4 linked regions of the Caenorhabditis elegans genome follow. The protein of the gene in region 2 interacts with the protein of the main gene of each other region in a biochemical or structural test. Each region holds a gene or a part of one and is shown on either strand. Other genes may lie near its edges.

Region 1 (8,612 bases), on a different chromosome or scaffold from region 2:
TTCAGATTTTTTCCAAAAAAATACAAATTGCCCAAAGACCATCAGAATGTTGTAATATTATTGAAAACCTTTGAAATAGCAGAAACTAAAAAATATGTTCTAGGAGAAATACTGCGGCTTCTGAAAATTGTGAAAAAAAAACCTTCTGGAAAACTTTCTGCGCGACGTTTCAGTTAGGTTCCACCATTTACTTTTTTTTTTCAAACTCTAATTATAAACTTTGTAATGTTGGTTTGTTCAGAAAATAATCATTAGTTTTTTGAAAAGCTTTAAAAAATACCTCAAATAGTTCTTGAAAGTTGTGCCTAGCTGAAAAAAAATTTAATTTTTTAAAAACATTTTTTAAAGGTATTTTATACATTTCTTTCATCCCTCGCACCTATTTTTCATTATTTTCTCGGAAAAATTCAAAAAATGTCGTTTATCTTGCAGAAATAATGCAGCCGCTGAATAGTATTCTTGACCCCCATTTAACCTGCCAGTCATTCAAGAGACCAGCTACCCTATAATTTCCTTTTCCCTGAATCACTCCTCATTTTTCACTTTTATTTTCTCTGCCACGAAACCCCATATTTGAGTACATGATTTCCTGGAATATTATCTCCTCCCTCACTCACCTCAACTAAGAATATTATATTTCTGAAAAAAAAAATGTTGAGGTCACCAAAAATCAGTCAAAAAAAAAGTAAGGAAGGGAGGTCTCATCAAAAACATTATGGAGAATGAAGGGGCTTGAAAAATGAGAAAAATCGGGGGAAAATGATGAACCAAACGAGGAAGAAATGATGAAAATGATTGATGATTCTCGATTCTTCTATTTTTTGCGATTTATTTGGAAACTGTCGTCATTTCTTACTTTCTATACGTTTTTGGGGTGCCAGGAATTGCAGAGAAGGTTTTTGAGAAAAATCTGTAGCTTCCATAAAAACAATAGCTCAGATTCCCTAGCTCACACATTATTAAGCTTATTCTTTTGAAATAAGAAGTCTTTAAGTATATTTTAAGAATTTACCAATTTCCAGTTACTTTAACTTCTACGTTTACTGGGAGCTATTCAACTGTAGCAACTGAGTGAATAACCAATCAGCGATCCCAGTTATCTGTGATTGGTCCACAGCAGAGTGCTCCCAGCAATCAGCGACATGGACCACGCCCCTTGTAAATCTTTGATTGGTCTGTTGCAGAGAGTGCTGACCAATCCTAGCATGTCTGTAATAGTTTGGTGATCGTTATATTTACCCGGAATTTCAAAACTTTCAAGCTTTGCAAATTCTTAAAAAATGGAACACGCCTTTAACTCTTTTCCCCCTATTCATAAAGATTTCTCCGGTGCGGAATAACAATATCTCTCTTCCGGACGGACACGCACATCACTTTTATATTTGGAAGGAAAAAATGTTCCGTGTTTCCAAAATTAGTACCAACCGCTCTCTACTCGAAAACGGAGTATAGAAGAGGAGTTCAAAATGAAAAATTGAAGACACTTTGTCATTGGCTTTATGGGTTTGTTACTGAAGAGTAGGGGCAGCTGGAGGAGGAGGAGAACAAGAAACATCATTTTCTCGTATTTTCGACAAGGACATGCAACATTGTTCTTTCTTGCAAAAATGGGAATATTTTTTGATTTGCAAACCTCCTAATCGGCATGTTAACGGCTGAAGCGTTTTGAGGGTGTCTCTCACTCGCCCTTTTAACGGTAATCTTGTGTGTCATGTATTGTCACATATTTTAAACCATCAGTATATTTTGTGTTTTTATTATTTAATTGAATTTTTTTAAAGGTAATTTCCGGCCTAGAGTGAGGCGAGGCTGGTAAAAAACTAAAATGAAATTTCAATTCTGATTTCACGGCTGAACTTTTATCGGATCTTTTTCTGAAATTTTATAACAAAATCCCAACATCGAAAAACTTTATGTTTTTAAAAAATTGTTGAAGCTTTATCTATCCGTCTCCCGCGAAAAAAATTCCTAAGAAGTCCCGCCGCTTATTGGCTTAGCCAAATTTTTTCGTTTTTTTTTTCGATTCATATTTTAGGGCTCCCGCTGGAAATTTTTCGGAATACACTATTTTTTTGTGGTCAAAATTTGAGAACATCTGTTACTCTTTAATAAATTCTAGTTCACATAAAAAATTTGAATTGTATTCCAATCATCGTGCACTTCATTTCAATCACCCACCAGAACTCCCACCTGAATTCAATGAATACTCAGAACGAGTAGAACTTCATATTCAAATTGAATAAACTTTCAGGTTTCTTTTTTGAATACCCAAATAAAGAGATTCAAAGAGGGAGGTGTAACGGGAAGATATTTTTGGTTTTGAATCTGAATAGCTATTATTTTCAAAAAATGATCAAAATAACTTTATTTTGTTAAGGCTGATAATAGAGAAAATATTGGTATTTGGCATTGGGCACATTTTTTTATATCTAAAACTAAAAAGTTAACTTTTTTGTTACGAAATTAGATTTTTTAACATTAGGAACAATAAAGTTTGTCGGTTTTCTTTCAAGTGGACCCGCCTGCCTGTCTTTTAGTCGACATATAGGCTTGCTCTTGCCTTTGCAATTTTGTCAGTTTTCAAGAAATACTGTAAGATTTTATATTTTGAATACCTTCTTAGAATCCCAGGTTTCCTAAAATATCGTATGCGATTTAGATTAGTTTCTGAAATCACAAAAAAAAATCTCTTTACGAGTTCCTAGAGCAGTATTACCAAATATTTCTATTTCAGTGAGTATATACCTATTTACGTGGGCTTTAATGACTTTCAATTATATATTTCTGATTTGTTTTATTAGAATGGGGAAAACGAGAACTCATTGAAACAAAACACATGAAAATTGATCTTGTCAAAAATATTGCAGAAATTTGAGCAAATTGGCAAGATGTGTGGGTGATCTGCTCAAAAAATGTCCTTCTGAGAGAGAAAAAACTAAATTAAAAAGTCATCATAGGCAATTTCATTTTGTCGAGAAATACCATAAATTTTTGGCTACATTTAAAGATTTTTTTAGAAGAATTATATTTTTCTCGCGTTTTTTACCCATTTGCATGTGAATTTTAGAATGAGTTTTTTGCTATTTTTTCGAATTCTCGGCACATGGAAAAATTTGCGTTAATCAATTTTTCTTTATTTCGGTTTCGAGTTTTTTCTCCTGTTTTCCATAAAAATTATAATTTCACTGTACATTTTCCAAATATCTTTCCGATTTTTCCATTTATCAAATCATGAAAAATTTTCCGCGACATATTTAGCACCTAAAAAATATAAGACGGTTAGGCGCGAGGCGGCCAGTTAAAAAGGACTTGAAAGACGGCTTTGTGACGACCAATCTTTAAAATGTTTTCAATAACAAAACCCATAAAGGTGTATTGTCCAAAAAGATTATGACTATTTAGAGGATTATTTAAATCTGATTTTTAAAATAATTGAAGAATTATGTTATTTTTTGGATTTTTAAAAAGTTTTTTTTATACCGGTAAATTCCATTTTTCTTTCCTATTCCTCCTACAATTTGAACTACGATTTTTTCAAAATCTCAATATAAAGTAGATCCTAAATACTTCCTACAGTACCACCATATTTCCCTGAATACTTCCTGATTTTCAAATAAATCTACATAGTAAAGTGCCCCCAACCTACCGAACCCATCATTATCACTTCGAGTCTTCAAAGTGCTCACACGTCATTCTTAAATGTGTGTGTATGTGTGTGCTCAGACTCCGCCCATACGTGTGCTCTCCATTCTCTCTCAGGACTCCGCCCCCATCAAGGCTCACTTCTTTTTCTGGTCTCGTTTCCAGAGAAAAACCCAGCAGCATCGTCTGAAGAAGGGTGAAACATTTTTTGTTTCAAAGAAGAAAAAAATGAATCAATTTTATGCACTATTCCTTGTCGCCTGTATTGCAGCAATGGCAAATGCCTATGAGGTGAGTTAAGATCGGAAAAATATAAATAATCTAAGATCATATTTCTTTCCGCTTCTAAAATTTGTGTGCTGAATTTCTTGAAGCGGAAGGTTCAACTTTTTCGAAAAACGAACAAAATATTATTTGTGCCCCTCCCCCCTGTGCCACCAGGCTCGAAATGAAGCCAATCGTGTGCAAAATAATAGAAAAGGCGCCACCTATAAAATGTGTTTTCGTAAATAAATTTCAAAGTGACTTTCAAGTGTATCTTTGAATTTTTAACAGTAGGCGAATCCTGCCTATTTTTCAAATGTAGGCGTGCCTGCATGTCTGTTAATTACCTAAATTTTGGAAGGTGCTTGTGTAATATACCTGCCCCCGTGGAAATGGTTTGCATTTTTAGGCTTACATTGAAAAAACAGTATTTCTAACATAGAAAGTCTAATAAGTAAGCCTAATTTGGACCAACATGGTCATTAAAATTTTAAAAATGGCTAACATTTTTGGGGCAAAAGACATACCTCAATTTAAGCTGAATTCTGTGAATTTTATTTTTTTAATAGCCCGAATAGAATATTTGTTTTCAAACACAAGATTAGTTTATTTCTCTTCAAAGAAACGTTGAGTCTGGAACGAAATAGCTGAAAAAAAAACGAAATTCGAAATTCTAGGGCTTCGTCTCGTCATCCACTTTCCTAATAATTTGTCGCGATGATTAATTTTTGGAAGCCCATTTTTACCATTTTTAAAAGTTATTACCCCTATCGCAGAATTTAGGTGTGATGAGCATGGTCCGACAGCTACCGGGTTTCGCGCCAAATTATAAAGCATGCGTGTTTTAAGAGGTTAAAAATAGTGCGGCGCGGAACCGGGCAGTTGTCGGCCGAACTTAGAAATTTGAGATTTGTTCAGAAAATGCCACCAGGCTATCCGAATTTTTTCGAAGTTTTTTGACCTACGTGGATATCCGCGCCTTTACATTAACCAACTTAAAGTTTACATATTCTATAACTTCCTTATAGTTTCAACACCTATTTTCATCCAGTAGCAACATCCGTTTTATGTAATACTTTGAAAATGTTAAAGTGAGCCACTAATGAGCACAAGGATTACATTCTTCGTCGTCACCCTTCTCCTTTTATTTTGCTGCTTTCGATGCTTCAGAGTGATGCTCTTGTGCTCAGTCTACCGTTCAAAATCAAATTTTAAGATTCTTCTATCTCTTTTTCGTACAAAAAGTTGATTAAAGTGATGATGACATCATTCAAAGTCACGAGAAGTTTAAAATTGATTGAATAAACAAAACAAAAATCCGTAAGAAAACCTAGACATACCCTATTGGGAGATCGCAGGGCTCACGGGTTGCTCCTGCTACTGCTCGACGACAAAAATCTCATTAGTTTTTATTGGTGCGGCGGGTGTAGATTTGCGGCGTTGATTATACGTGGGAATATGTTAAATTACATACATACTTGAGCTCTATTTTTCAGGAGCCAGATTTGGATGCACTCGCCGAGTTCTGTGGAAAGGAATCGAATCGAAAGTACTGTGATCAAATTGCACAACTCGCCACTCAGCACGCAATCGGTATTAATCAGGTGAGAATGATGACGTCATACTGGGACCTTGAGATATTGGCGGCCACGGTCGCATTGACATTAATATATTCTATATTCTTGAAATAATTTTTTGAAAATTAAAGACAAACTCAAATGTAATGTCCTATTCTAAAACTATGGCCAATTCCATTTTACTTACAAAAAATTCAAATTAGCGCTCAATAAATGCGCCGACCAATCAGCGACCTTGGTCACGCCTTTTGCACGTCGCTGATTGGTCGGCGTTTCGTTTTTTTTAAATTTTAGCGGGATATATTGAAGTTTCAATAATGAAATTTATCTTCTAAAAAACACATTTTGAGGAAAATTTTCGACTGAATAACTTTTTGCACATTTTCGGAATTGGGGAGAAAAACATCTAAGAATAAAATAAGAAAAGGAGCTCCTCAAAAATTGATAAATTCCAAAAATACACGCTTCTCTGAAATGTTAAATTGTGACTAGAAGCACTGAATAATTATAAAGTTCATGTTATAGAATTAGAAAAATTATGATTTAATTTAATAAGAATATGGTAACGGCCTCAACGCGACAGAAAATGTTTTAATGGAGGCTACGAAAAGTGTATGCGCCTTTAAAACATTATTTTTTACACACTATTTTCGAGAGCCTTACTTTACATTTTTTAACGTTTCTAGATCAGAAATGCCGTTGAAAATGTTATATATTATTTGCTTTTTCAGTTAAAGGAAGTTTTAAAATTATAATTTTTGAAAAATCGTAAGAAAAACTAAAAATGGTCATCTCGTGACTTTCAAAAATAAATAAAAACGTCTCGTCTAAAAATTGCGGAATTCCCCACAACTGATAATGAGAAAATATTAATTCTGCCACCAAACCTATAACTTCTTGTATTTATCTAAACAATTCAAGAATTTTCTAATTTGCAGGAGCAAGTCCGAATGGAAAAGCGGAAGCCGTCGTTCGTCCGTTTCGGAAAACGTTCAGGATACCCGCTGGTAATTGATGACGAGGAAATGCGTATGGACAAGAGAAAGCCATCATTTGTTCGATTTGGAAGAAAGTAGATAGATATGTCTTGTTGATTATTCTGGAAACATCTTGGATCTATTTTTGATCTCTCTCTCTCTCTCACACACAGCTGCTCACTACGTTTTCTTCTCGATTGTTCCCATCTAGATTTCTGGCCCTCATACCGTTCATTCATTCTTCTCTCCCATCCCCTTACCCCTCTTCAACTTTTATGGTAACCTGAGAATTTGTGAAAATCAAAAAAAAATCAAGTTTTCATGTTGATATGTGCAATAAAATGTGTTACATGTGTGTGCGTTGGTGCCATTTGAATCAGGAAATTTTTATCATTTTTTTATTTCAAAAGGAATTGCTATTATAAAGGATTATCTCAACAAAACATAAAGATTGAGTTGTTTGCTTTTCACTGAAAAAAACTGAAAATTTGAGAAAAAAAAATCGAAAAATCTGAACTCCCGCGCAGAACAGAAAGCGTCGACCAATCAGCGACAGAGACAACGCCCCTTACGCATCGCTCATTGGTAAGCGAAATAGAGTTTGAGCCTTTAAATGTAAGGTGTACAGTAGTTTCCATTTATACATTTTTGTCTGGAAACCTAATTAAAGCATGGTGAACTAGAAAATTGCATTGCGAAATGTCTAAAAAAAAGTTTTTTTACTGCAAAAGAAATTACTGTACTCCTTAAAGGCACACACTTTTTTTTCCAAATTTTTGTGTCTATCGTTGCATTGGGTTCTCAGTTTTGTGCTCAAATAAAAATAGATTCAATCTTTCAGTGATGCCTGTAATTATTTGAACATTTTAGGAAAAATTGTATTTCTAGATAATTATTATTTTTTGAATATCCCCTTTCGTGTTTCATACCTAACAATATTCCTTCGCGCGGGAATTTAATGATCAGCAAACTTTAAAGTTTTACACACTTTAAGGATGACTTCTTTCTGAATACTTGGGAAAAACAATACTTGATACATGTGTGGGTGTTTTGGTGTCATTTAAACCAGAACATCTTTATCTCAAGTATCGTTAAAAATCTAAATTAGCTTTTTTGAAAAAGATTACTATAAGATGGATTATTTGAACAAAACATAAAGCTTAGAAAGAGCAAAAGTCGTTCAAAAAAGGATAAAAGCACATATTCCGTCATTACCCGATTCCTTTTCTTGAATAATTCACGATATGAAAACGAGAATGAAAATATGAAACACACACACACACATACCTTCCGAATTTATTTTTTATAAATTCTCTCATTTTTTGTGGATTTTGTTATGTGTCTGGGACCGATTGTGGGTTTAGGAGTTTAGTGTTAAACAAAATTTCAGCAGTCATTTAACGACAATAGCAATAGAATTTTGGCGGTCACATTGTATAGATTTCACCTAGTGACAGTTTTTCCTATGTTTGATATTTTTTCCCGAGCCGTTTCTCTCTATTTCACACCTGAATATCTAATTATTCACGAAGACAGAATATGTTTAAAACCGCGGTGTAATCGAACTCGGAAGTTTTGCGACCAATATACATGTAAAGGGTTTAATTTTTTTAAATGATTTCTGGAATTGTTTTAGATCAGTGATTTTTCCTAGAAGCTACGCCAGAGGATTTGTGTTTGCAATTTCGGGAAAATAATACGTCCAACTATTCAACTTTTTCGGGGAAAAATATAGGTATTATAAGAAGTATTTGAGTCACGAACAATGGAGAGATTGAGGTGTTCATGGGCCAACGTCTAGCCAAAAACCTGAAACGATTAAAAAACACAAATATTTTTTATTACGAATCACTATTATTTCAGATTAATTCGCAGAAGTATCAGGTTTGAAATAGTATATTGAGACCCTAAGTAAAGAAATATACTGGAGGCGTTTTCCGGGCGATGGGGAGTGGTGAAAGACTTTTCTTCAATTTTTGTAGCTCCGAGAAGTGAAAAATTGTCTTTTTCATGTTTTATCACCGGGTAGCAAGGCGAGCCGTTTTCCACATTTGTTGACAAATTACAGAAATATCGATTTAAAAAAATGCCATTTAACAACTCCAATGATCAGAAAACATTCAGATTTTTAAAATTTTCTGAAACTCAAATA
Region 2 (7,827 bases):
ACCAGAATTTCCTGTTGTTTCTTTATTGTAATTGTTTGCATAGGAATATAAGTATCTTATTCTTAGTATTTCAATAACACTTTCACATGCACTACTCTTTCTTCAGATTAATCATTTTTCCAAACTAGTAAGCTCATACCAGATTCTTTAACTTTTGAATCATAAACTGATTGATCCACACATTGTCCGTCAAATTCTCTTTCCCCATCCACGCATAAACACAAAATATCAATGCAAATAGATCCACCCGAGCATATTCCTCCGAACAGGCACTCAGTTCCAGGAATTCCAACTGAAAACATAATATAAAAAATAAAACTTTGGAAATTGTTGGAACGAAAAAAAAGCATTTACCGGAAAACGTTAAGTTTTCTTGTTTTTTTGGTTTGTATATGAGTACTTGTATAGACTCTTCGGAGACCATGTTCACCAGATATCATAACCGAGAGCAAAACATATGTGTTCTCGACCACATTTATAAATTCAGAAATCATTCAAAACTTACGTTTACCTTCAACGCCATACACTTGTTTTGCAGAAACGGAAAGTAAGATTAGGAATTGATAAGTTGGAAGCATCATCTAAAAAAGATAAAACAATGGAACAAATCGGAATGTGTGAAGATACCCGAATGTTTGCAATTCGTTTCTTTGCCTCCCCCAGTCAACTGTCATTCGTGTTTGTTTTTCCATTTGCTCTTTTTTCTTTTTTCTTGTCAGTTTAATCAGCCCAAATTAGGATGAGCCCTGAAGTTTTGACAATGAAACAAAAAACAAAAGTTCAATCAGTTGGCTTTATAGATTGTTATATTTTTGTTGTAGAACGTTCTAGAATATTTTTTCCACAAAAAAGTCAGGGAAGTTTCAGGCTTCAAAAAAGAAGTAGCCGCAAGAATTGTATTTTTTTTTTGGTTTCATTAGTATTTGTTTCATGTTTACTCTAACTAGAAAACAGTGCAAATTATCTTCAGACCCAGCCACACTGATGTGAGTCAAATTTTTTTACGGGGGAATTTACATCTGAAACCCCCATCTGAAATCCTAGTTGTCGTTCGAAATTTTACTGTGCACTTTTTGCTAAACTCAAAGAATTGTATGAAAAAGTTCATATTACATTCTTTTTTTCATTGGTTATGTGGATAACGAGTTACTGTAACTCGTATCAATTCAGTGGCTGAAAAATATTTACCATTATTTTTTCAATTAATTGGGTTATTCAAGTAGTGTCGGAAAGTTTAGAAGCAGAGAAAAATTTTAATACAGTTGTCACGTCATTTCTCTATCCTTTTTAATTTTTCGACACTACTTGAATAACCCCATAAAAAAGCATTCCGGGATGTAGTAACTCATTGTCTACGTAAGTGACCCCAAAAACTTCTTATCGCTATACGTCTACGTATTAACTTCACTGACAGGAGAATACTTTTGAAGGTGTTCAGAAAATATTATTCTTTCCGTTTAAAAATTCCGCTAAGACTGTCTGTCAAGATATGAACACTTGAGACTTTTTGCAACAAAAAAAAACCAAACGCTTCAAAATACTGCAATTTTTATTGTTTTGATAGATTAAGAAGCGATTCAATTTGTTAGTGTAGCAGATAAATATGCTATTTTTTCTATTTAGAATTTAAAAAAATTAACAAGTATGCTGAAAAATTATATTTAAGGTTTTAGAAAACTTTTAAATTCTAAAGAAAATTGCTTTAAAAAAAGTCAATTAGACAAAATCATTGAACACTTATTTTTTCATAACTTTGATTTTTAACTTTGAAACTTCAGTTTTCCAACTTTTAAAAGCTGTTCAAATAGAGAAAACACACTATATTAGTAAAACAATACAAGTTTTATTCATTCTCGGAAGATTTCAAGATAAACAAGAATCACATTTTCAAACTTGTGACTTTCAAATTTTTCAGACGAATTGAAGTTCACAACGGGATAAATACAAAAATCAAGAATTATAGTTGAATTGAATAACTACGCAAAGGAGATTAAGACCCGACATATGAGCTTGGCGCAGTTCTATTTATCAGAAAAGTTCGTGGGGACTTTGTTTCGTCGTCATGTCGATGATTCCAACTTCCTGAAAAATTGTATTTTGAATTGAACTTTTTAGTCAGAAAAAATTGTGAGTAAAATGTAGTTATCTCAAGTAGATGATTCATCCTACAATTTTGTTTGAAAGTACTCACTTCGAGTTCCTCTTAAACTATTCTTTCTGGTCCATGGGAAGAATAGTGCTCGGAACGTGGAGAGATACTCATTGGACATGGTGCAATAGAGAACGAAGCTAACAGAGCTGTACAACAGCGTCAGCATTTCCATCAGATTTCCCACTGGATCGTAATACCGATTTCCGAACTCTTCACCGTAGATAGCCACGCACAAGTTAAGAATACCCATGGGTAGTTCTACCTGGAATCAGACATACGTTTCATGGTAATCATAGACAAAATAATATAAATAATCGTAACAATACAGCAATCACATACGATCAGACATTAAATAGTGACTAACCATTACACATAGGAGTAGAATGATGACGAGCATTCGTGTTGTGCGCGGTCTGGTCGTCAACTTTCTTTTTGCTTTTCTCTCGGAGTTGGTGCAAATGTTGGCACCTTGTGTACGCTTCCAGTTTTTACGCCTTCGTTCTACGCTTTTCAAAGATCTTATAAGAGCAATGAGTAGTATTGAGAGAATTAACGACGGAAGTAGTTTGAACACAATACCAAATGCCCAGAAAACTGCGGACACGAGAAGTGGACTCTCTTGATAACTGAGGTCGTACAATGGACCTTCCATTTCGCATTGCAAATCATAAGCAACGTGGTCACGAGCGACAATTTTAACCTGAAACATAGATGAAATCAGATTCGAGATATGAAGATTAACTACACAAACCTCGGATATGAAAAACAATGGAAGACTGATGATAGGAATGATGATCCAAATGATAACGTTTGCTGCGATTGCTGGCTGGCATTTATAGATGAATCTATTCGCTTGAATTGGAAACTTCAGTGCACAATACCGAAACACTGCGACAACGATCGTCGTTGTGAATGCAACTGAAAAGTATTTGAGTACAGTAATATGCTTGCCAATCTAAAAATACTTACTTGTATGAAATACTGTATTCAGGTTGACATTGAAGAATCTATATCTTGTAAATGCTTCGGACCATAATAATTGAACACTGCAAAAAACTGGAACATTGTTTTTTTTATTTGATGCATGACGTACCATTGATATCTATAATACTCAAGCAATAAGTAAAGGAAGTAATTGGTCGCTAGGAGCCATTGTGCAATGGAGAGACCTGTGAGCAGGATGTTTATTGGGGTTCGCATCCGTTTTCTGGAATAACAGGTACATTCATCCGTAAAAAATAAAGAAATATATAACTTACCTTGTGAGCACAATAATATTGAAGACGTTTGAAGCGGCTCCGAATATACAGATAGAAATTGAAAGAGGAATATGAATTTCATCGTAGTACTGCAAAAAGGACTTGTCAGTTATGGCTCGCGACGAGACATTTGTTGCATTTTCACGACCCGACAATCCGAGTTCCGTCCATTTCCCCATTTTTTCACTCTTTCACGTTTCGGAACGAGCCCGAATAGGGAAGCAAATATGGGAAAGCAAAAAAGATTCCGGTTCAAAATGCTGGAAAAGCTTCAAACGTCCATTCACAACCGGATTATCCCAGCGACAATCTCTAACAACGAGATAGCAGGAAAAATTGGACGACAAAATAAATATTCGTTCCAGTCAAAACGGAGTGGGAGGGAAAGGGGAAATCTAGTGAAATCAGTGTTGGAAGTTCCGCCCACTGTGTAGCGCGTGCCCCTGTCTATCAGCTAATTATTTTTCAAGTTGTGTGCATCGCGTGTCCCCCCAAATGACACCATACTGATTCACTGGTGCCCAGTCAGAAACACATAGATGAGTCTCTGAAAGACTAACTCGCAGTGTGAGGCCGTAAAACGGGTTTACGATCGGCTCCCAATAGAGTCTCGTACGCAACTAACACCCAAAGTACACGTGCAGAATTGCAGAATTATTTAGGTCATTTGAGGAATGGGACACTACTCCGAAAATGGGGAAAATGTTTGAAACTGTTCATATGCCGCTACATTAGGTCCTGATAGGTTTTGTTCCCCCAAAATGTTTTAATTTTCTAAAATTAAATTTTCCACCTTTCAAATTAAAAACAAAAACAAAAGTACGGAACAAAGCATTCGTTTCTCCAAATCGTTCCAAAAAAGTTCACGTTTTTGTGGTTAATTGTAACTTAGAAAATTAAAACATTTTGAGGGTAACAAAACCCATGAGTACCCTACAATAAATCATAATAGCAAACTTTTCGAGTCCAATTTGACAAAATTTTCCAAAATTTACATTCGGAGTTGCTTGAAATTTCTCAAACAGTCCAAACTTTTAGAAAACTTGACAATTTACCAAAACTTTGATTGAAATTTTTTGAAAAATCGGAGCATTTTTGAAGTGTTGCACGATTATATTTGACTATTATGAATGTGATTAAATAATATTCCCACTGATGATACTCCAACTTTGATAGTTTCACATAAGTGTTTAAACCAAGTGAAAATTATATTTTCGATGTAAATTTGTCTAGACAGTGACTTTTGTCCTATTATACAATTTGAAATTTCAAGGGTTCAAACTTTTGAGGTTGCTTAAAAAAAACGTCCATGCTTTTTGATAACTTGGTAATTCACCACAACTTTTACTGAATATTTTGAAAAATCTAAGAATGTTTGGAGTGTTTCACAATGATATTTGTTCATGTCAGACTATCATGATTGTAAATTCAAACCCCCCCCCCTCTTCACTGATGTTACTTTACTATTAATAGTGTTTATAAGTGCTTTAAAAACGTTCAATGTTCTTGAATATTCAAAATAGAATGTTGCTTCAACACATCTAATCTCATATCTTGAGACATTTTGCTCTCCGATTAGTGATAACAATTAATTTTTCCTAAACTGTTCTTTGGCAAATATCAAAATTGAAACAATGATCCTATGGCTTCTATCACAAATTTGCAATTTTTCCAAATTTCCAACGCGTCATCAAAACCACCTCCCGAGATTTTAATGCTTTGAACTCACCATGGCAAACATGTGGATATAGCATTCGAAGTATGTACAGATCAGTGTGTCATTCATTGCTGAAAAGCTGTCATTGTGTTCTATGATGTTCTCCATCTGCAACAAAAGACCTGTGTTGTTTTCAAAGTTATGCAGGGAGAAGAACAAGAAAACGTGAGGAAACGGAGGTGAAGGCAACAGAAAAAAGATCAGGAAAAACCTTTTGACGTTATATAAATTATTAAATCATGAGCATTATATAAAGATTTCTGGAGTATAGAAAGTTCCATACCTTAAATGAGTTCAAAATTCAAGAACAGTACGTAGAAATGATTAATGTCTAGTCTCGGGAACTTATATTCCCCTGGCACGGTCTACCGTCATATAAGGTTTTCGCAGTACATTCTGACAAATTTATTGTTGCAGAAAGAAAAAAAGAAAATTGAAAAAGACACGAACGCAGCTTGAGATAAATAATTTTCGAATCCGGTACACCGTCATTCTCCTACAAAATGAAGGAAGGTTGACTGAATAATTAAATTAATGTTTTCTTTCATGCTATTTTCAAGACAAAAGACAAACCCGGACACTGATCTGTCTATTTGTAAGTGACAAGTAGAATAATATATCAAGGAAAACAATGGACGAGGGATGAACATTTTAGTGTTTGTTTCAAATCACATTTCGAACTCGAGGCGACGTTTTAAATCTCCGCTACTTTGCTCTTTTGCACTCTGAATTTTTGATCATCAATGGAAATCTTACATCTTCAATATTTTCAAACGAAAAATCCAGCGGTCAGTTGAGAGTCTATGAATTTAAAAGTATTTTTCAATCGTCATAGTATAAAATTTTCCATTTTTGTGGAGGAATAAATTGCAAGACTTTTTGAGTTGAATTTTTGAGTTGGATATAACCATTTTTATCAACAGGAGCTGAAACTTTCAAAGTAAAATTTCAAAACAGTTAATGATAATGTAACAAACAAATACCTAATTATTCAATCAAACACTTTTTGTAAGTTTCGCAAAAATTGTTGTGAGCAAAACGACAAGAAAACGACATTAACCTCAAAAAAAACCTGTCAAATAATGCAAAAAAGTGTGATAGTTGAACGAAAACTAATTTGTGAAACTGAAAAGATGGCAAAAATTAAAGTGGTAGCTCAATTCAGCTGATTTTTTTCCGAAAAGTTAACCTGCTTTTAAAATTTTTGAAAATCTTTTTTAGAAGTTTCATTATTTAATTTGACCGTTTCAAGTCTTTTTAATCAAACATTTAGGCAGAACAAAAACCCACAAACAAAAGAGAAGCCTTAACGCTAGATAGATATTAACGACTGTTTCAAAAAAATCACAAAATAAAGTCTGAAGTCTTAAAAACGGTTTCAGTAACAAATAAAAAAGAATCAGCGAAAAAGTTAACTTTGGGAAAAAAATAATTCTTCGATGGTGACGCATAAAATAATACAATAATAGCATAGAATACGATTGGATATCTATTCTTCTTTATTTCAGCTTTCTATGTTGCCAGCTTTAAGAGGTTCCAGAAATCAGATATTTTCACTGAGTAATCCAATAGAAAACTATTATTTTCGCAGAAAATAAAAATGAAAAAAAAAAAAACTTTACAGCGAAAAATTGATTTTTAAAACGTTTGAAATTGCAATTTGTTGTTTTCTGCTACTGTCTTTCAAAACAATTAATATAGCATTGAAATGACAAGATGGGAGTGAAAAGCAATCATAAACAAAGACAAATGTGTCCGATGGATTACTGCGGAGTTGTGTTTCTTTCAGTTGCCAGTTGAAAAGTCAGAACATCATTAGAATCGAAATTCGGAAAGAAAAATGTACTTGATCGAATTTTTTAAAACAAAATTTAATGAAAGTGTGAACATCAATTAAAATGCGTGAGAATTGAGTAGGAGAGGAATTAATGGAATGGGAATAGAAAGTAGTAGCTCTAACTTGAAACCTTTCGGTCTCACACGGAACTGAAACTCTTTCCAAATTAGAAATTTACAAAGCGACGCAAAGACCTTTGATTTAAGTATTTATATTTTCTTTTGAAAACCAAAACAATAAAATTTGTGTACCCATGATGTGGGTACGATGTCTGATGGATTCTATCTAATATACGTCTACTAAATTGTTATTGTTTTCAGGAGCCGACTACATATTTCGGGATACTTTAGGGATTGTGTCAAACCCGGGGATGTGATTCTTGTCTTCTAAAACATTCTTGTAAAACAGAACAAAATCAGAATGATTCAGAAGTTTTGCATTATTACTCGATACCGTGCTCAAAAGTCTAGACAATAGAGATGAGTTCTTTCTCAATAAAATCACAAAACAAAAAATTTTGAAAACGAAATTCCTGGAAGGAAAGTTTTCATGGAAGGAACGCACCACTAGGGGAATAAAACACGTAACATAATCCCTTTAAAAATTTTCGATTATCAACTTCATTCTTTGAACTCAATTATAAGCTTGAAAAATGAACAACAAAAACCACAATTTTGCAAAATTGTTGACGATGAAGAGCCGAGTTAAAGTCTAAAGGGAATAAGAGTTAGCAACTATCATAGAGAAAAATTTCTTAAATCTTTTTTGGCTAAAATAACCCAAACATCGCAGTACATTTGTGAAAACATGAGTTCTTGATAGGCCTGTTAGGTAGGTCGAGATGGGTCGACCCGCATAATTT
Region 3 (7,751 bases), on a different chromosome or scaffold from region 2:
GAATAAATAGGCATTTTAAGAAGATGCCGGTATAATGCTGCAGATACGTTGTTGCACCAGAGATCAAAAACATTTTAATGTAGCATTTTATTTTGTAGACAAAAGTTTTTTCCTCGGAAACTACAATATTGATTCCAGTTTTCAATTGTTCTTTTAATTGGCATTTTGAAAGAATATACACCTAAATGCGCTTCCCTTGAATGTACGGTTAATTTACAGAATTTGTTTTAAAACTTGAATCTTTTAGTGCACTTTTTCTGTTCCACATCTTATAATTTGATAAGATGATGTAGAACAAGTTGATATCATTTCAAATATAAAGTTGCAAAATTCTCAACTACAATTACACTTTTCGCTTTTTGAACTTACTTCTCATCAATCAGCAACGTCATTCAGTTGTGCATACTCGTGCAAATGTACCTCCACAATAGATTACTATGCTATTTTAGTCTTCTTCCATTACCTAGTCATCTATTATTCTTGTTTCGCCAAGTGATGTATTCCATACTTTTCAACCAAAACGTTTTTGTTCCAGAACTTTCTCATAGTACAATCAGTACCATGATCTCTACATGTCTCCAAAAAATGTCTTTGCAATGACTGAAATAACTAGTTCTCATTTACAGATTGTCAGGTTGGTTCGGGTTTCCAAGACCCCTTTAGAGTGCACTTTTTGCGCACTTTGTCACAGAGGGCACACACTTGGAAACAGACACGAGATGTAGACAGTTGTGTATGTGTCTTTTCAATAAAATACGTAGAATTAAAAGGGATTCGAATACAAATTTCAAATTTACAAAGAAGGAAGTTGTAAGATTTCCAAATAGTTGCAACTGTTTTATGGCTCTGCTTTACGGTGCCTCAACTTTTAGGAATCAGGAATCAAAATGGTCACGCTTTGTGATAAAGTAATCAGGTCAGTTATTTTGAAATTACCATACTAAAATTAATTTCAAACACAGTGTGAAAGATATTTAAAAAATATTTTCTACTTCCACGTTTACAACCAATTGCCGTCAATTTCAGAACTTGATTTAGCCATTTGCATTGTACCTTAATTTTTTTTAGAGTTCAAAGAACAAGATCATATTTGGTCGATAATCAGTATTACTTTTATTTTAATTTGACAATAAAATTCAGCCTTTCAAATTTTTCAGTTGGAAAGCAATAAGAAATCCTCCAGTTCTATTTGATCTAATAACCTTATATTTCAAATCTTCTAGACTTCAGTTCCTGTCTAGGTTATGACGTACCACAGCGGATATCGAGAACGGTGTTTATTGGGGTTTTAAGTGATAAGCAAAGTCTGTGATAACTCTGCAAAAACAGTGTGTTCAAACACCGTTTTTCTCAAGGATATTGGATATACTGCAAATGGCATGTTATCTCAAAAGATACATTAATGGCAGACACCCAATGTTATATTGTATCTTATTAAAAAGTCACAACATTTAGGAATTAGATAACAAAGAACAGCAGGGGACGAAGATTCTCGTTTTATATTTTTAAAATTAAGTCCTACTCGTCTTAGAGCTTTAAAAAATTCTAGATGCTTGTCAATAATGAAGGCTTCCAACAAAGTACAGAATTCGAATTTTAACTACTGCACACAATTTTCAGTGTGTCCAATCCAACTGAATGTCAAAAAACTTTCATGGCTTACGCTGTTTCTCATGTCTGCCATCATTGAATTTCATTCGTGCCTGCCTACCTCTTGAACTTATATAGTACTAAATTTACAGACGAAAAATTGCAGATGTGTGTAACTCGCCAGCAAAACGAAAGATAGATTATGTTAGCCAATGATCTTAGCTACCGTTTCAAAAAAAAATTTAGATTGCGGGTGGAAGATATTCCCTAGGTAGGCAGTAGTTTGTGCCTGTACTAAAAACCATATACATGGGCGGCATACACCACTTGGTGATTGCCAAAAACGCCGATTGCAGAAAATTTTAAAACTCGGCATTTCCGAATTGCCGGATAAACTTTATCAAAAATAAACACTTTCGAGTTGTGTTTTTATCAGATTATTATTATAATCCAATGAACGTCAGATTACGCAGACGGTGACACCTTTTCTTTCGTCATCATCTTTTTTTTTTTGAAAGAGATATATAGAAGTAACAAGCGTGATCTCGGTACGACATCAATCAGGCGTCTGTAGGAGGCTGGTTTTTCTCTTATTCGTTTTTCTGTTCATTTCGTGTGTTTTTCGTATTCAATAAAGGAGCGGATAAGATACAGATAAAAGAGGTGATTCTGTGTGAAAAACACGGTGCAAAACTTTATCAATCGAAGGAAACGAAGAGGATGGGAGAATTGTAAAAAGTAGGGATTAAAAGTGTAGGTTTACATGAAGATAATGTAAAAGAAAGAAACTGTCAGTTTTATCATCGGGAGAGTTGAGAGTTTTTAAAAGGTATTTGATTTTAAAATAAGTTAAATGTGTGAGCCTGTATAAATGATAGATCCAAGTTTGTCCAAAATTTATCGTCCGAATCTCATGTATGCTGATTTTCTCTTCATCATATCGTGGTCCTCCTCCTCACCCATGGAACGTTTTCCGAATCTGAAAATAAATAAGTTCTTAATCTCTGAATAGCTCACTATTCGTAAAATAGAGTGATGCAGAAATTACAGTGCATTTTTTTTCCACTTCTACGACTTTAAAGGCGCGCGCATTTATACAAAATGGTCCCGTCATTGGTCTCGCCATGCGCTCAACAAATCAATGGGATGCGCGTGGCGGGACCATTGCGCGAAAATGCGCGCGCCATTTGGTTTTCAATCAAAGGGAAAATATCACAAATCAGCGGAAATCCCATTGCCATGGTGTTCAATAAGTGAAAAACGAATGTCTCTTTTTACTTACAAAAATTACGGGAAATTGTTCAGAATGGTCTGACGTCAAGTGTCTTTTTTCTGAAATAGTCTCTCAGTAAAAATTGTATGACGTCACAATGTTCAAAATTATATTTCGGCGATTTTCGCGAATGAAGCTATGATTAAATCGTTTGAACACACGTTTTTCAGTACTTTCACAAAAGAACAACAAACACGTTACTCAAAGAATATGGTACTGAAGATATTAGCTTTAAGAAAAGATAACTGACATTAAACTAGAAACATATCTCTAAAGAACTATTTGCCAAAAAATGTTAAGAAAGAGTTGATCGTTTCAAAATCAAGAAATAAAAGTTCCTCGATTAGTATTTTCAGATATTTCAAAGGAATAAAGTTCCAGTTGGTCCTTACAAGAGCATTCTAGTTGTGCGTAAGATATCCTCGTGTTTTTGTGTCAACTTAGAAATGAATGGGTTCAGCCATGTTTACCCTAGAATAACTTTTTTCGTTTCTTTTCACTTCTCTCACCTCATGTATGCGGATTTTCTTTTAAAAAGATCATGTGCATCTCCATCAACTCCTTCATTTCCAATAACTTCCATATCTGATGATCGCTTTCCAAATCTGAAACATTTCTATGTTTTTTTTGAATAAATATTCATTCATTTTGAATAATAATTCATTCATTTTGTGTCTCATCTGAAACTCATTCACATACCTCATGTAGGCACTTTTTCTCTTTTCCATTGGCATATCATCTTCTTGAGGTCCAGATCGCTTTCCAAATCTTCAAAATAAAATAATTTAATGACTTGGTCTCAGACACTGGGAGGTCAATTGAGGTGAAAAACCAACCTCATGTAGGCGGACTTTCTCTTTTCCATATCAATGTCATCTCCTCCAACAAGCTCTTGCTCATCACCTCCGCTACTTCTCTTTCCAAAACGCATGTAGGCACTCTTCCGTTTTTCCATTTCCATTGGGTTTCCACCGTCAGAACGTCCGAAACGCATATACGCTGATTTACGCTTCATCATTTCTGCAAAACATATTTTTGAACAGGTGGCCCGAGAGATACGTAGAAAATGAAAGTTTCATGAACACTACAAATGACATGGTGCATCGTGTCCTCGGTAGTATATTTTTTTGTTGAAAAAATTACCTCTCTCCACTTCACTGTCCTGTTGTGCGAATGCTACAGCGATCACCACGCCAAGCGTCAAAATCAACCCACGAGAGTTCATATTCTGGAATAATCATATTGTTTTCAAAATAATGATTAAAAACTGAAAACAAGATAAGAAGGCAGGAATGGATTTCAGGATTTTATGAGATAAGAATCCTTAAAGCAGGAAGCAAATATTATACCTATTATACCTTGTTTTTCATATAAAACAAAAATGAGTAATAACTAAATAAAAAACGTTGAACAGAAAAACATAGAGATTCAGCTATACGTCTGCGAAGGTCAGGTTGTATGAAGTACATTTTCAACTTTTCATAAATATCATCTGGTAACGTGGGGCGTGGAACATGTCTGAATTTGGATGAGGGGGAGTACCAGGTGAAAAGTTGGTTGAAAATAAAAAGATTAATATTATTATCTATTAGTACTACTACAAAAGAGCAAAAAGAAGATGATATTGGCTTAGAAAAGAGCCTCCGAATGAGACCCCCGACTCGCTTTTTTGAGGGGAGGAGAAGCGGACGAAGAAGTGGGCGGAGTCAAGCTGTTGAAGGTATTCCTTTCTCCAACGGCTCTTTCCCGCCCTTCACCGTCTTTTTGCTGGTTTTGGTGGGGGCTAATCCGAATTTGGGGATGAGAAAGGAAGATTGACGTCATGTTTAACTGGTAAAAAAGTTAGTTTTATAGGTGGATCCTAACCTGAGTCAAAAGCCAGACAAAACAAAAACACGGAGTTACCATAGAGAATATTGAGAATTGCAATATTTCTGACTTTTCACCGAAACATTGAAGAAGAGCAAATAAGATTGATGACATCAAACAAGGAAATTTGATGGATTCATTTCGAGATTCAAAGTGACTTGTATCGCAGCTCATACTCCAATTTTCAGATTTCAAAAAATACAAAAAAGTAAGAGAACGTGAGAGAAGGAACCAAATGTGCAGTGAAAATGAGTCAAAGAACAAATTAATTAATTTTTATGGACTTTGTGGGAAAATCATTTTTGAGATTTTCTAAGCATGTTTATGAGACACCTTGAACGAGAACAAACGTTCACTTGAACCAATATTAACATTAAAGGCAATTGGGTCACTAAAATCATCAATTCACATATGCACCACACATTTCAAAACTGTGCCCTGTCACTGTTTCGTTAAGTGTAGGATCTTATGGTATTTTAAAAAAACCCAGTCAACAATCTGACAGTAGATTAACTTTTATTCCACATCAATACATCCACTGAACCCAATGCAAAACATGGTGCATCGACCGAAAACAAACAAAATAATTAGAAGCTGTCTCACTTTAAAATAAATAAACATTTACTTGCGCAATATTCATTTAAGTTAAACTATTTTTTCGGTCAGCTTTAAATTCCAGCTAATGTGAGATGAAATCAGAAGTTCGGAGAAAATCAGGAAGTTTTCGTGCTGAATCTTGTTGCCAATTTTCGATACTCTTTGGTTAACATTTAGGAAACTTTGATAGATCGTATGATTTTCAGTTATCGTTTTTTTAAATTATGAGTACTCATCTAATCCGTCTGCTCTAATAAGGCTTCTTTTGAAAATGTCAATGACGCATATAGAACAATTCTCATATTTTCTTATTAGTCATTTTTTAGACATTATCACAATTGAACTAGGATTTAAGAATTTTATATCTCGCGATTTATACTTTCCTAAAGAATATTTTAAAGTTAGTTCAATAAATATTATAGCGTTATTCGGGAAATATATGATCTTCTAAACTTCTTCGGTTTTTCAGAAAATCATCTTAGTTTCAGATTTTTCAAGCAATATTCCAATCAGCTTTTTGTTTTGGTTATAGGGTGGACAATTCCAGGAACATCCCAACACTGATCCATCCACTGCGTCATTTGATTTACTGCCGTTCCCTGGAGAAAAACAATTCTTTTTTTTTGGATTAACTTTTTAAGAAAATAAAATAAAAAGAAGATTTATATATGTTATTTTAAAAAATAAAAGAACAGTACTTCCTGATCTGATTCATGGAATCACTTTTTTTTGGAATTTTTCAAAACCAAGATGAAGCCATAGATTTTTTTTCATTTTGCAGGACTTGCAAAATCCCAGAACTAGTATTTCACTTTCCGGATCTTTCAAAAATAAAAGCGTCCTGAAATTTTAGGTTATGTAAGCAGAAGTGACGTGAAGATGGGAAAATTTTGTGTTTGTTAAATTTGTACTACATCATTAATAATTGAACAATGAAATTGAAACATTGAGTTTCAGGTGATCAGGTGTTTTTCGAAGGTTAAATTGATCTTTGAAGTTGGAAAAACATAGACAATTAAGTGCTAAAAATTTCAGTTAGCTGTGAAGTGTCAAAATGAAAAAATCGTAATTTTCTAATAAGAAATTTATTATTAAAGTTTTATTATGTTATTTCAGTACTTTAATGCGACCGTCATAGGGAAAAGAAATCTAGAAGATTTTTAGAAAATTGTAAATTTACGATAATTTTTGTCAACATTTGTCAGAAGGATTATTTTTTTTTGTTGTTTTTTTATGCAGTTTCCTGCTTCTGGATTAATTCTGAAATTGTTTGGTTTTTCTTACAATTCTGAAAGTTAATCAAAGATTTACTTTAGAAAGAAAGTATTGAGTGAATTTGCATTATGTTGTGTTTCTGGAAACAACAACATATCCTTGAATCAAACATGGGTTGCATTTTGGAAAATCTTTAATTCTTGATATGTCATCAGAAGTCAAGCGTCTTCATTCAAAAAACGTGCTTGTTTTTTCACATAACTTTGATTTTCTACAACTGGAATATCATATGTCGTGTGACATTTCCTATCCAATTGTAAGGTTTCAATAATCAACATGAAAGTGATATGAATAGATATTCTGATTAAATATTTTTTGAATAAAAATTGAAAGATAAAATCTTCACTGAGAGGGCGTTGATTTCTTTTGTTGGTTCGAGTCATCTTCCATATATGGTTAAATAAATGTGAGAAACGATCGAACACCTTAGTCTTCGAAAAGTAGTGAAACCAAAAAGTTACAGAACATATAAAGAGGAAGGAAAAGGTACGGGATAATCGAAAATGCAAAAATGTGTTTCAACGGGCACTTTGTGGCCCATGTGAGCCACCAATAGAGGAACTTCTGACGAAGAAGCCAATTGTGACTAGATCATTCAGACATCGTGAGAAAGAAATCAAAGACCTGAAGGCATACAACAGAAGTCTACAAGAGAATGAACAGAAGAACGGAAGGATTTAAAATTGTGCAGATCGTGCACAGAATCGTTTAGTTTGGTGGGAGTCTGGCTATTTGAAGACGCAAAGTGAAATGTGAATGGTAAATTAGCTATTCACAGTGAGGGGTTTTGATTGATTTTTTTAAATTGGAATTAAAACCTCAAAAATATTGATCAAAAAGGTAAGACTGAATTGAATTCAACACTTGTGTCTACTCAACATGACCTTCACATACAAAATGAACTTTCTCATGAGTTCACCTGCCGAATTGTATGCAAATGTGCATTGAAATATTCATACCTAGTTGAATTAAGCATGCATGATGTTAAGACAAAGTTTGGGAAAGAATTCGCAATTGTTACTGAAAATACTTCAGGTACCTTTTTTTTCTTATTAGTATTGCACCCCAAATTTTAACACCGGTGATATTGAAAATTGTCCAGTTATATGCTTTATCTATTTATGCACTTCTAATAATTGAACATTTT
Region 4 (6,435 bases), 8.9 Mb from region 2:
CTCCGAGAGAAAAATCGTGTGCAGAAGCAATAGCGTGGCCAGATTACGTGGTGACGGTAGCGGCGGGCAGTAGAAACTAGCTGTCAATAGGACGGTAATTGTCTGCCATCATCATCGACTAAAGTGCGACTAATGGCAATAGCCCATACCTCCACCACAGCTGGTCAACATCTCGTTTATCCTGTGTTGCGAACATTTCCGAAATTCTTCGAAGCGTCTTGAGAATTTTTACAACAATATAAAAGAAAAGTATTTCAGGGATAATCTTCCGTCCTCAAGTGTTTGTTTTCCTAATTGTTTACCAGATTCCGCTTGACTAATTTTTAGTGAACTGAAAATTAATTTGCACTGACCAAGTATTTCTGCTTAAAGTATACACCTTGAATTTAAATTTTGCCGTTGACTATATCGCCCAATTTTTTTTTATTATGGCAAGCCATTCTTCACCGAATTATTGAGTCATCGGACTAGTTTCGGAGGTGACGAGGCATGAGAATAAGAAAGTTTCGGCTTTCTTTTTTATCCGTGGAAAGTGAGATCCAGAAGAAAAGTGGCGGAATTTCAATAACTTTGAGATGACGCATTATTACGACAACGAAGCAGGGGTTTTTTAATTAGAAAATCTGAGATGAACTTACTTTGCAGATAGTAAAAATAAAGTTTTAAGGTATAAAAAAGGATTAAAGGATTAAAAGACGATCCCTTCTTCAAGTGCGATGCACTGCGGATCTAGGAGCCAGGTACACTGCCTGATGGTGCTCCTACTGGGCTATAATTTAAGCCACGTCCTAGCCGGAGACTGTGGCGGAAAATCCAGTTATGGATTGCTCACCTTGCCAATGGAGGCTGGGTGAACCTAGGGAGTGAGGCCGGACTTGAACTCGTGACCTCCAGATTGCTAGCGACCACCACTACCGACTGAGCTATCAAGAACTTAGTAGAAAACGGTAAGCAGTTTTGAAGCATTGAGAATTTCAGTTTAGTGGGAACTGAAAGTATAGTTATGTGTTTTAATTTAGAGAAAATTCTTGAACTATCAATCGTGAAACTCGGCTGAAGCCCACTCCTATTTTTGAATGTACTGCAATAGAACCATCTTGATTCTAATTTTCAAAAAATCTTCTATCAAAAACTATGACGCCAAAATTATCTTGTTTAGACTTCTTGAAATCGCTTGGCCCCATCATTTGTCAAGCAAAAAAAAATCACAAGTGTCCCACGTTCTCGTAGCCTAGCGAAACATGAAATATGTTGTCTCATTTCAACAAAAAATTTACTTTTCTTCTTCTCACTGACTATACAACATGTTTGGGCCGAGAAAATTGTATCCAAATTGTGAAATATTTCAATGACACAGGATTTCGGATAGAAAGATATACACAGTTTTTCCTCGAAAACCGGTCTTACGTCTGTTTGATGCGCGCGCCCGCAGGGGGATCATGCGTACTTGTAAGCAAATTTGAATACGATGAGTGGTCATACAAAGAAAAAAAACGGATTTGGTCATTCGGCTGGGACATATTATGCAATTCATACATCAAGCCTGTGAATATCCAAGTCTTGTGAAAATTGAGATAAGATGGAAAAAAAAAGAAAAAAAAACCAGAAAAACAATGAAAGTTTATTCTAACTGACGTTTTGCAGAGATAAAAGAAAAAAAATTAGCATGGAGAATAAGAAATCTAACAAAACATTATCAGTATAGAACACAATTTGGCCCAAATCATCAAGAAGCACACATCCATCTCTGAACGCGAATCACCCGAATCGAATGAATTCGTTCTTTCGTTTCTCCACTGCAAAACCACTTACAGATAAAATACATCAGAGGTGTAACCGAAAAACTCACTGGAAACGTCGTTGTCGTCGAGTCCAAGTCCCTTATCGGATCTTCCGAATCGGATGAACTCATTTTTTCTCTTTCCAAACCGGATGAACTCGTTCTTTCGTTTTTCCATTCTGAGAAAGAAATGATATTTGAAATGACCGACAAATACCAAATATGTACTAACCCGTCACTGCGTTTTCCAAATCGGATAAACTCGTTTTTACGCTTGTTCATCACCGGAACTTCTTGATCGTACAGTGTGACATCTGTCTGCTGCATCACCTCCTGCAAGGCTCTTTGGACGACTTGCATCTCCGCCTGCAAAACATTTTAGATTTTACAGGAATAAAAAACCACTTTGGAAACTAAAAAAAATGATCAACATACCTCAAGATGGCAAATCCGGAGTCCGAGTTCCTTCTCATTCTCGGTGGTCAGTGCGGACACATCACAGCTAGCGTTGGCCGATATGGCGAGTACAAAAATAGAAAAAAGGACTCCGGAGAGCATTTTCTACTTGAAAAGTGTGGACTGAGCACTGCTCGTGGCTTATATACTGGTCCGTCTTCTCCACTAACTTGGGCTCCGCGCACTTTGCTCCGCCTTTTCAGAGGCCACGCCTTCTTGTGCTGAAGAAATTCTAGAGTGTCCACTGGAAGGCGTTTGGTAAAAGAACGCGGGGGCATAGAAAACTTGAAATGGTAAATTGCATAAAACAAGTAAGAAACAGTAAAGTGCTTGTTCTGAGATTTATCTGAAATTGATTCATCGAAAAATTAAATTTACTCCGGTTTTAAAAGTCGTAAGACAATAAACGTGTCTTTGAGAGCAAGTTGATTCAAATTTTAAAAATTTGCTGAAAATCAAGTTTCGAAAACCAACGATATAAAAAAATTTTTTTTTAAAGTTATTAAAAATTATCTCATTTGAAAATTTATTGTATAAACCAGGTTATCTCAACTATCAGGTTAAAAACCGCTTTTTAGGTAAGAAACGTTATCTACGAAAAAACAAATTTTTCCAGATCAAACTTTAGAGTCATACAGTACCACCAAGAAAAATTTTAACATTTTGACATTGTTGTAGCAATTCGTTTGATTTGAAAATGGAAATTTCTCGAAGCTACCCTCGTTTTGAAAAATGAAAACAATGCATATTTATATTTTTGTGTCCTTATTTTGTTTTTTAAATTTTTTTAAAGAGGCCCACTTTACGTTTTTGTGTGTTTTCTTCTTCCTCGTCTATCTATCAGCTGTATAACCGAGCAGTCGAGGGACTGAACACAGTGAATACACGGAATTCATGCTGGGAGGTAACTAACAGATAAATTTAGCCACCGACACCCTCCGAAACTAATTATACCAACTCTATGCATTTGTAAATTGTTGACGTAACACTTGGACTTCTCCTTCATCTAATTCTTCAACTTTTTTCCACCTCTTCTCGGGGGGGGGGGGGGGGGGTACTTTGAAACCAAAAACTTATCCACCGCGCAAATTATTCATCACGAATCAGTTGCTTCCTCGATGATTCGCCTCGCAAAATGATTTCACGGCAATCTCTTCATAAATCTTGCCCTCCAATCATTGAATATTCATTCGAGCAACATGAAACTACGGTGAAGATTGCGTGTATTCAAAGTAAAGGTGCCCACATACTTTTTGAAGAGATCGTCCATGACGAAAATGAATTCATTTAAAGTAGAGTAAAACAAGACTTTTCAAAGAGAACAAAATATCAAGGAGTTCTTATGTCAAAATGGGATGGTCAAAAATGGAAGTCTAATCATTAAATAGTGAATGTCTTGAAAGTCAGTCATCTTATCCTGCATTATAATTATGTGCATAATAAGTGAATTTGCTAGTTTATCACTCCGCCATTGTTTAACAGTAGTCAGTCAGCTTTTTGATTATTTTCCAAAAGTATTCATTCATATTTACAGTGAATATTTTGAAAAATGTATTGTCCTTTAACTATAATTAATGTTGAAAAAATGTAAACCATTCTGTAAAAAGTTGATAATAATTATTAACTGCTCTGAACTTCTCGGAAAGTTATATATTTTCGTCGCCTCGCTATTTTACTAAAACCTTGACTGAAAATTAAGAAAAACTGGAAAGTTTTTGTACGGTTTTATTTTGATATGCGGCCAGCTTGAAACAATATTTACGTGTTTAAACAAAATGTATTTATCTTTAAATATAAATACAGTATTTCTTTTTTACTTGCACCACCTATTGAAAATCAACCCTGTATATTGAATTGAAAAGCTTCCAAATTATTTGATAATTTGACATTTGATAATCACTTTCCGCTTTGTTATATGTAATCTCAAAATTTTTCTTCCGCTATCAAAAATATGCTCGTTTTACTTTTTCTCTATTTTATCACAACATAAAAACCGATGAACGATACTGTTGTGACCGCAAATGTGAGAAGAGGAATCCAAAACACATACACACAAAAATAGTGACGAACGTAATTTCCAATGCATGGTCTTAAGACGGAACACACATAGTTTTTGGCTTGAAAATGTCAAAGAACTGTTTTTTTTCCTGGAAAATGGAAAACAATAAAATTATGGGAATTGTTTCGGAGTGGTTTCCGGCCCATGAGGTACTGATAGGAACTAACAAAAGACTCTTATTTAATTAACTCATTTATTACGAGTGATTCAAGGGGAAAACCTTGAATCACTAACACTCAACATTCATTTAAACGTGCCACCGTCGGGCACGTGCTGCGGTGGTGAAGACCGATGAAGACTGACGATATAGGCCAATGTGCGCTGCGCCATGATGACAAGAGTACGGTCGCAGTCGTTGTTGTATGTGTCGTGGCGAGACCTCATGCGCCTTGAATCGTCCTTTTGGCGGTAGTTTGAATCGGGGTTTCTGACGCCGTCCTTCTGCATGGTTGTTGCCGTTGATTGAAGAGATGATGTTGAGTGTTGAAGAGCAAGTGTTACGTAATAACAATGAATCAATCTTTACATTTAATCATTTGTTAATAAATCCTTAGATTTATTAATAAGTCGTGAGCGAGTGAATCTTTGTATTCACCGACTTCGTGACAGGAATATTCAAAATAGCGAGCTGAAGTTCAAGGGTACTGTTCGAGGAGTAAAAAAAAATTTGGAAATTAAAAACACTTTGGCTATTCTGTGTTCCTTTAAATTTTAATAAACATTTCCAACAACGTAAAAACATTTATTTGGTATGCAATCAAAATACTTCGGCAAAAGTTCTATATAAAACCGATGGAAAATGAAAAGAATAGAGATCTAAGTTTGATTTGATTCCGATATGTAGGTTTAATGAACAACTCATCATAATAATAACACAGCTGCAGAAAACATAATTATTAGTATTAGATTTAAATTGACGTCATTGTTGCATAAATTACCATCGCATGTGCAAACTTCAAGGTTTCCTGAAAGTTATATATATATTTTTTTTTTATTATATGGAACAATTTGAATATTACATACCTTCTCCACTAGTAATTTTTGTACAGTCTGATCGGATTTGTTCTTTTGCATTTGGTATGCAACTTCTCCAAACATGATTGATTCCTAAAATAAGTAAAAAGAAAATAAAATAAACAATTAATTTTGATCTATCTCACCGCTTTTTTCCTGGAAAATCATTTTCATGCAGACTCCATTTGAGCACTCATTGCTGCGAACTCCATCACGAAGAGCTTGATCAACCTGGAAAACTGCTCATTTTAGAGAAATATTAGCCGAGTTAGCCGGTCGGCTGAAATTCGGCTAATGCGGCTAACTTTATCAATTTCAGATTTTTTTGTTCATTCAGCAAGATTTTCACTAATTTTGTGGGTTATCAAGTAAGTAAAAACAATTCACTTGATAACAGAAACAAAAAAACGTACTGAAAGCAATTAAACAATAAAACTAGCCTACCCTAGACAGTCCTGCCCAGAGCCTAGACAACCCTACCCCAGACCCTAGCCTACCCTAGAAGGCACTACCCCAGCCGACCCTAGACAGCCCTATCCCATAGCCTAGACAGCCCTACCCCAGACCCTAGCCTACCCTAGACAGCCCTTACCCAGACCCCAGCCTACTCTAGACAGCCCTTACCCAGACCCCAGCCTACCCTAGACAGCCCTACCCCAGACCCTAGAGAGATGCGGGAGGCGGAGGGCTACCCTAGGCAACCCTAAGCAGCCCTAGCCTACCCTAGGCAAACCTAGCCCACCCTAGGCAGACCTAGCCTACCCTAGGCAGACCTAAGCAGCCCTAGCCTACCCTAGGCAGACCTAGCCTACCCTAGGCAGACGTAGCCTACCCTAGACAGACGTAGCCTACCCTAGACAGACGTAGCCTACCCTAGGCAGACCTAGCCTACCCTAGGCAGCCCTAGCCTGCCCCAGGCAAACCGTTTGCCTACCCCAGGCAAACCTAGCCTACCCTAGGCAAGCTTAGCCTACCCTAGGCAGACCTCCAGTCTTCCTTCGATTCCTAAATGAAAGAAGACTGGAGAGTTGGGTTAGAGACCATTCGAACGTGCGGTTTTACCCGGCTCCCTCACACTTAGCGAGGGTCGAAAACATGCGGTACCCAACAACGACCGCCCAAAATT

What was found.
Region 1: the proteins of egl-6 (region 2) and flp-9 interact in a test that uses a peptide from one of them, tested with the Caenorhabditis elegans proteins (one large-scale study listed by BioGRID).
Region 3: the proteins of egl-6 (region 2) and flp-6 interact in a test that uses a peptide from one of them, tested with the Caenorhabditis elegans proteins (one large-scale study listed by BioGRID).
Region 4: the proteins of egl-6 (region 2) and flp-8 interact in a test that uses a peptide from one of them, tested with the Caenorhabditis elegans proteins (one large-scale study listed by BioGRID).

Annotation. Positions count from the first base shown.
Region 1 is NC_003282.8:12,752,761-12,761,372, reverse strand, and holds flp-9 (KPSFVRF-amide 2), read left to right. Parts: upstream 1-3,802; 5' UTR 3,803-3,870; coding exon 3,871-3,933; intron 3,934-5,402; coding exon 5,403-5,510; intron 5,511-6,421; coding exon 6,422-6,559; 3' UTR 6,560-6,815; downstream 6,816-8,612. UniProt on the Caenorhabditis elegans protein: FMRFamides and FMRFamide-like peptides are neuropeptides. KPSFVRF-amide: Has no effect on somatic body wall muscle, inhibits contraction of vaginal vera muscle, and inhibits the activity of the dissected pharyngeal myogenic muscle system.
Region 2 is NC_003284.9:5,928,531-5,936,357, reverse strand, and holds egl-6 (G-protein coupled receptors family 1 profile domain-containing protein), read right to left. Parts: upstream 3,773-7,827; 5' UTR 3,591-3,772; coding exon 3,412-3,590; intron 3,360-3,411; coding exon 3,246-3,359; intron 3,199-3,245; coding exon 3,122-3,198; intron 3,071-3,121; coding exon 2,904-3,070; intron 2,853-2,903; coding exon 2,517-2,852; intron 2,415-2,516; coding exon 2,192-2,414; intron 2,083-2,191; coding exon 1,991-2,082; 3' UTR 1,826-1,990; downstream 1-1,825. Other genes in the region: C46F4.3 (EB domain-containing protein), read right to left, coding at 140-292, 506-581.
Region 3 is NC_003283.11:9,468,315-9,476,065, reverse strand, and holds flp-6 (QQDSEVEREMM), read right to left. Parts: upstream 4,092-7,751; 5' UTR 4,089-4,091; coding exon 4,007-4,088; intron 3,884-4,006; coding exon 3,700-3,883; intron 3,632-3,699; coding exon 3,563-3,631; intron 3,469-3,562; coding exon 3,373-3,468; intron 2,570-3,372; coding exon 2,488-2,569; 3' UTR 2,274-2,487; downstream 1-2,273. UniProt on the Caenorhabditis elegans protein: FMRFamides and FMRFamide-like peptides are neuropeptides. KSAYMRF-amide has an excitatory effect on dissected pharyngeal myogenic muscle system.
Region 4 is NC_003284.9:14,877,441-14,883,875, reverse strand, and holds flp-8 (FMRF-Like Peptide), read right to left. Parts: upstream 2,458-6,435; 5' UTR 2,339-2,457; coding exon 2,216-2,338; intron 2,147-2,215; coding exon 2,013-2,146; intron 1,960-2,012; coding exon 1,809-1,959; downstream 1-1,808. Other genes in the region: sssh-1 (UPAR/Ly6 domain-containing protein qvr), read right to left, coding at 5,157-5,260, 5,319-5,402, 5,456-5,540.